Saccharomyces cerevisiae S288C: one gene and its partner. Changing the gene in region 1 together with any one later gene gives a genetic interaction. Each region holds a gene or a part of one and is shown on either strand. Other genes may lie near its edges.

The links.
Region 2: mutations in YEN1 (region 1) and DNA2 are lethal when combined (synthetic lethality), as found in Saccharomyces cerevisiae (5 studies listed by BioGRID, with this or other methods).

Annotation. Positions count from the first base shown.
Region 1 is NC_001137.3:230,849-234,609, reverse strand, and holds the start of YEN1 (crossover junction endodeoxyribonuclease), read right to left. Parts: upstream 2,150-3,761; coding exon 1-2,149. Other genes in the region: nitrogen-responsive transcriptional regulator GLN3, read right to left, coding at 2,623-3,761. UniProt on the Saccharomyces cerevisiae protein: Endonuclease which resolves Holliday junctions by the introduction of symmetrically related cuts across the junction point, to produce nicked duplex products in which the nicks can be readily ligated.
Region 2 is NC_001140.6:427,286-431,046, forward strand, and holds the start of DNA2 (bifunctional ATP-dependent DNA helicase/ssDNA endodeoxyribonuclease DNA2), read right to left. Parts: upstream 1,894-3,761; coding exon 1-1,893. Other genes in the region: U4/U6-U5 snRNP complex subunit PRP8, read right to left, coding at 2,422-3,761. UniProt on the Saccharomyces cerevisiae protein: Key enzyme involved in DNA replication and DNA repair.

The DNA.
Region 1 (3,761 bases):
GCAACATCTTAGTACCTTGAAGGCGAGCATTGATTGTGATGCTTGAGCGTGATTTTAAACCAGACTCAGGCGGATTTTTCTCAGCATTAGTAGTTCTTGACTTTTTTATTGGTGATATTTCTATTACGTCCTTCCAAACGTCAACCTGTTCGTCCTGTGTAAGATCCCGAATTCTTTTACCGGGTGAACTATCTAAAACGCTTTGGCTGTTTGTAATCTCATCTACAAAAATCAACGAATCATCGTCATTATCGCTGTGTTCATCGACGGTGGTCAGTCTTGTGGGAGCCGGTATTTCTTCCAGACTAGTATCTTCGTCTGTATCTACAAAAAGCCTTTTTCTCACAGGTTCCAGGATTTCCTTTCTCGACTCGCCTACCTTTCCGATACTTTTAATCGGCGAAGTATGCTTTCTTAAAAACTCATCCAAGTTATTCTTCTGTGGTAGCCGAGACTTATTCGATTTTTTACCTTTCTTCTCTTTTTCTTTCTGTATAAGTTGCTGTGTCTCATAATATTGAATTACTAATGGATGCGATTGAGGTATCAAGTATTTGGGTAACCAAAGACTATTTGGGTGTTCCATTATATCCATCTGACGTCGTGTGGGACTCTTGCTTCTACTGGGAGAATTACTGCGCTTCAAAGGAGATTGAGAAGAAATGGGTATATTAGGCAAGAATGTTGTATACCGTATTTTAAAACATGGTATTTGGAACTTTCCACCATCTATGTTCATAATTTTTTCTTCGGTAATCCTCATATTACCTTTACCTATATTATCGGACTCATCAATTGATAAAAATTCTCTTAATAGAAACATCTCGTGCATAGAATCATGAAACCACTTGTCGAAGCTAGAAATTTGAGGCAAATTCAAACTTTGTAAAAAATATTTCAGTTCATTGAAATTTAAGTTTCTGTAGTGTCCGTTTCCAGCCATATTTATGTATTTATCACTGAGAACTTCTTCATCAAAATATGGTTGGACAATGGGGTGAAAATAGTGCATGATTGCGACAGTTGATGGCCAGCCTTCAAATGAACCTTGATTCAATAAAACAGGATAATTTCTTCCAAATAGCTCGACAGAATGATCCTTGCAGTATAAATATAATCTTTTTTGAAACAATCTATACCGAGACTTCCTCAGACTTTCTGATGTCAAATCTTCTAAATTGAAATCTTTGAAAATGTCATAAAATTCCATGGAAAAGTTAGGATCTTCGCATTGAGCCAACTGCAAAGATTTGTTTTTACCCAAACCCTTGACTCCACGATTGTAATCGGCACCTAATAGCACGCTGAAAAATAAGAGAGACAGGCGATCAAACTTCTTCCCTGCTACTTTATTAATTTTGGGTAGATCTATAACAGTAACAAAAGATTCTTTACTATCATGATGTCTACTGGGACTGTGGGAAGTTATTGAACTTGGGCCAAAATCATCGTAGAATTTCGAGTAATTTTTCAGGATTTTTTCTCCCCCAAATACGAGAGTATCTGAATCGTTACTTAAAATGAAATCTACAGCCCCAGAAACTTGCAGCCAAACACACTGGGCTTCTCCCTCCCCACATGCGATTACATATGAAATGTTCATCAAGTCTAATAATTTCCGTACAAGACTGATGAACTCAGGGTCAGATGGCGCTAGCAATCCTTTACAATTGCCATAAACTTCATGATTCTTAACATGCTGTTCCCAGCTTGAATAGTACTCTTTCTCATCATCACAAGTAGTAGCGTTCTGTTCGTGGTTAAATTTCCTTTTGAAAGAGGGTTTCATAACTCCGTCAAATACAAGCAAGAATTCGACGTTTAAACTCAGTAGTTCTTTTAATCGAGATATGAAGTTTATCACAGCTTTTCCTGTAGTTGTATAACTTCTGCTACCATAATATTCTTGACTACTGTCGATATCACTATCACGCGGAGAACGGGTAGGACTCCTTGATCTTGATCTAGATCTGGCGCTTATATCTATATTTTGGATAAATCCACACTCAAATAGCCATCCATATGCGTCAATCGCGATTCTTGGAGCTCTTTTTTGCGATTTATTAAAGTCTATGACAAACTTTCTCAACGGAATTCTGGAATCTTGCAGATATGGCTTCAAAAATTCCCATATTTGTGAGACACCCATTTTCTTGTGCAGTATCCAGAATATACAAGTAGGTAAAATGCAATAGAACTGTCATTTCATTGGATGGACCATATACATTATTGTTTATGTGTCAGTCAAAAGCTAGTTAAATTATTCAACTGTGGGCATTATAAGAAAAAGAAAATGCCATTAAAAAAGGGCCGTTTAAAAAAAAAAAAGAAAGAGATAGACAAAAGAAACAGGGGAGATAGAGAAAGAATACCAAATAATAATTAGAGTGATATTACAAATTCCTAATAATATATGTCTACACATAAAAGTAATACAAATAGAACAGCCAGTGTTCAATGCCAATATACTACCATTTCTTTTTTTACAAGTAATTTGATCTGAAAATAGCAAAACAAATAATACCAATGCTCAGGATTGTGGTCAGAGGTAATGAAAATCTATCAATGCAACCGTTCAGTAATTATTAACATAATAAGAATAATGATAATGATAATACGCGGTCATATACCAAATTTTAACCAATCCAATTCGTCAGCAATTGCTGAACTTTCTTTAGAAGATCCTTTTGTGGAATTATCCTCACTGATCTTTCCGCCTGCACTCACATCTGCTTCATATTTTATAGGTGAAGTAGAGTCACTTGATAATCTATTGTTAAATTTGTGATTTGAGATAAACGAATTCGACTCCGAGTTCTGCAATTGTTGTGATAACAATGAGGTATGTGATTTTCTTGAAGAAGGTCTTGAGACACTCGGTGAATCTACAGGAGTATTAAAAATATCAAAATTTGGCTTTTGAGAGACAAAATTTGATGATCTTGAATTTGTTGAAACGCTATTGCTTGAATTCCAATTCTGTCTATTCGAATTCGTGTTTGTGTTGGAATTCACGTCCACTTGTTGCTGTTCGTGCAGTTGTTGCAAAGACGCAGCCATAAACGATGAGGAGTACGATGCATTGCGCGACATCTTTCTTCTTGGTATATTCATTCCTTGACGTTGGAAAGAATTTGATAATAGATTCTGCTGTAGAGGACTATTTGAGTTAAAGTTTGCGGACGATATAATTCTTGGTGAGGATGCGACACTATTTCCTGCACTTACATTATTTGTTGTGTTCATTAGGTTCATGTTCATGTTGAACTGCTGTGAATTAGCGCTATTAGGTGAAGGTTTTGGTAATATCGGAACAACAGATCTGGATGAAGATTTACTGGAACTTGAGGTGTTCGATGAAGTACTACTTCGTCTTGAAGACCTTCTAAAATTAGGAGTAACAGTGTTCGAATTGTGACGCATTAAGTTATTAGAATTCAAATTTGCATTGCTTGCTCCATTAAAATTTGCGTTACTACTATTATACGATTGGCTGTTCATGAGGACCGGGGAGGGGACTGAGTTGAAGTTATAGCCTCCCCTATTTACATTAAGGATATTATTAGTATTACCGATGTTGTCTCTAATGATTTCTTCAGGTATCACTCTAGATAAAGAGTTTTGTTGTAGTGATTTTTTCCTCGATCGTATGGGTTTAGCATTTGTAGTGGTTACTGAAGTTGAGGCAGTTGCAGGTGCACTTGGAGTATTTTGTGCAATGTTTGGGTCCGTTTGTTTGGCTCTCTTCTTTGAAATCCTCT
Region 2 (3,761 bases), on another chromosome or scaffold:
CTGTGTTCTTCTTGTTCCGGAAATTGATGTGTAGCAACCATAGTTACTTTTCGAAACAAATTTATTGACGAAGTACAAAATGTTTTCAGCATGTTCTTTCATAACTAATTCTTTAACGTACTGGATTTCTTCATTACAAATGATAATTGAAAAAGAATAAGTTTCTAACAAAGAATCCAGCTTTTGTATTATGATTTCCATAGAAATTTTATTATGCGAGAGCTTGTATTTGATTGAGTCTTGCAATAACTCGTGTACGATATTGCCTAAAGTCATGACAAGGCTTGGTTCTCCGCGGGGATCTTGAAATTGCATTTGCAGAATTGAACGTCTTAAACAACCTACTGAACTTCCGACTGATGTTGCCGAAAATAATACATCAGGGTTTAGCACCAACAGGTTGTCGTTAGCCAGTTGAGTTTTAGGGTTTTTGTCGTCAGAAAGAAGCCGTTTGTTTTCAATATTTTTCCCTTCTATAATATGTATTACATCCCCAACCTCAAATTCCAAATATACCCAAGGATGTCGAACGACAACAGAACTTTGTTCGCCTTTGCCGTCTATACACTCTAGTATTTTTTGCGTTCCAATTTTTGGCAATTCAACACTACGTAAGCTTACTATTACTAATCGTACTACGCCGTCTCTTGGAGCACCAGACTTAGCTCTGAGAGCATATGCGGATAAAGTGGAATCAGTAGCAATTCTCAAATCGTCAGAGACCATTTTCTCCACTTTGTCTAAATCTTGTTCAATAGTGTTAGGTTCCACTTGTGTTTGAGTTTCGTTCAATAGTTCAATTAGTGAATCGTCTGAAAATTCGTCTGAAGAATTGTATTCTATTTTTTCATTTTTTTTAATTCTTTGGCAATTACTGTCTTCTTCATTCTCATAAAATGCATTGCCTGTTTTGGCTTGATTGTCTACATTTTCATGATCTTCAATTTCTCCTCTCGATTTTGTGTTATCATTCTTCCCACAACTTTCCTGGGCTCCACTTTTTTGATTGGTGTTGCCTTGAATTGTTATCTGACTCTCACTCTTGCGTTTCTCAACATACTTTTGAGTTAAAATATCTATCAAAGAGTCATCGCCATCGTTGCTATCTCCTGTTGAATCCATTTTATCTACTTCTTCTGCATTCACCTCTGCTTTTTTTTCAACGTTGGGTGCCTTGATGGGTGAAGATGGCAAATCGCTGAATTTCGTTATCGTCGGTTTTATAGTTAAATCGCCCTCTATATCATCGAGAATATCATCTATATTACGGAGAGACTCCCTGGTAGATATTTCTGCTGGTTTAGGACGCACTTGCTCATTTCCATTTTCTTGAATGAGTTGATTTACGTCAGCGTTGGGTACTTGGATATTTGTGAAACTAAGAACAGTTTTCAGTCGATTAGGGACTATAGGTGTAGAAGAGGGATTTTGGACATCTTCGTAGTCATCAGAGTATTCGGCAGCGCTTGTTGTTTTGTCGGACATATCTCGTTGTAAAGGTGAATATTTCCATATTACTTCTTCCATGGGGCCGTCCTCGTCTTGAGTGAAATCGTGATGCCTACTCAAATTAGACATTTCCCGTTTCGGTTTAACTTGTGAATTTGGTAATTGCTTTACGCTCTTGCTAACTGCTTTGTTTATATCTTTTGTTCTTGATGTATTTCGTACTTGTGAAACGGCTATTGACTTTAGGACACTTGCATTGGATACCTTGGTGTTCTTCCCATTTAAGTTATTTATAGGAGCAAAAGCATACTTTTTTTTCCTCTTAGTTTGCTTAGATAATATCGCCTTTGAATCATTTTGTATTATTTCTTTTTCCTCTGTCTTCTTCGCAGGTGAAACAGATATACTCGCAGACCTCTTGTTCTTCTGTGGCGTTCCGGGCATCCTGACGATCTCTTCAATTGTCAGTGTTTGCTTGCACAAAATGAGTACTCACTTGAGTATGTTTTCTCCCAATTTTGTTTTGAGGCTGCCGTAATGATTGTAACTTTATCTTCAAAAATGTAACACAAGTTTTGCCATAAATAGCGTAAGATCAGTTAAATATATATAAGTTCTTTCTGCCGCACGGAATTGCTTTATTGCGCGAAATGAAAACAAGAATATCCAATTTCTATATGAAGGACATAATGGAATGGGAGTGACAACGGACCATTTTCTGTCCGAACGATGTCTATCTCCTTTGGTTACTTTTTGAAATAGAATCACAGTCAATGACCAATTTTCACATACTTATAGCTTTTCATAGTGCGGAAAGCGTAGCTTTGAAGTAGTTCCGAAATTATAATACATCATCGTGTGGTAGGTAGCAACTACGACGGGCATAAAAAATGCGTTGAATATTATACATACAAACTTATACTTACATATATATCTATGAAATAACAGATTCCAGTTTATTGGGGAATATATTCAGCTAAATACATCGATTTGTTCGGCCTCTAACTCTTCGTCCCCCGCCAATTCGCTAAACTGTAAAAAGTGTACTGGACGATGCATCTCATTATAGAATTCCAAAGGAATGCCGTATTTAAAATTGTAGTCACCTTCTTGGTTAAATGCTGTTCCCATAAATGTGTAGTTCCAAACGTTTCCAGATGGAATTATAAAATTACCTGTGATACGGTCAGAGAGAAGTAATTGGGCATGCGTGCTGAAAGTAGGCTCAAACCCTTCCGATAGCACGTTCATTATATCCTTATTTTCTTCACCCCATTGGTAACCTTCGTCGGTCAGGTTATAAGCGCTTAATGATACTGATCCCGGGGTGGAAAAAATTGAAATATCAATGCAGTCTCTTTTCTTATCCGCAAAAAGTTTAGAATGAGTTGCTACTTCAGACGCAGCCATGAATTTAAGTTCTTCTGTCTGGGTATGGATCCAACCGAGTAGTTCAAGGCCTTCAGTATCCGGAAGGTCTCCGATGTCAGGGATGTTGCTTATCTGAACGGATCCTACGTGGCCTAATTGAGGTACCAGCACAACAGTCTTGATTTCTTTCACCTTCGGATGATCTTTTGCTGACATACCATAAATAAAGGCCGCCACCTGGATTTTCACATCGGATATCTCAATAAACTTCTTTAATAAATTTTTTGGAAGGACGTAAACATTCTGTTCCTCCACGAAATCATCAGCCGAAACATAAATGTTTTTTAACCTCAAATATAATAGTGTATTAGCAATTGCAGATTTTCTCCATTCATTCTTTGAACTAAACGTTTGACTTTCGTAATCAGCGGAAGCTACTACAACTATCTCCTCACCTTGCGCATTGATAGTTTTAGTTTTCATAACAGTTGATGCACCTGCAGCTTCTTCGTCGTTCTGCTTTTCTGACCTGGCAGCTTCTAATTCAGCCATTTTTTGTCTCTTCACAGATGGTGCCTTGATATTTTGACCCAATATAATATCTTTAATTTCCGTTTGAGTTAAGGCAGATATATTGACATTGTATTTTCTGCCGTACTCAGTCAAAATCAAATCTCTCATTTGAGATTCGATAGTGATCCATTGTTCATCAGTGAATGAAGGCCATAAATGGTACGATTTGATAGTGATCGTGGGGTCACTGAGTAGAATCATTTTGGCACTTTCCTCGTTCGTCTTTAAAGCTCTTAAAAGTAGTGTAAGTCTAGAAAATGCAGTGTACGATGAAATACGGTCTAACCAATCATCATAAATGTTAAACAGAACCATCTGAGGTTCAGTAGCTTTCATCACAACATCAGAAAGTTTATCTATTGACATTG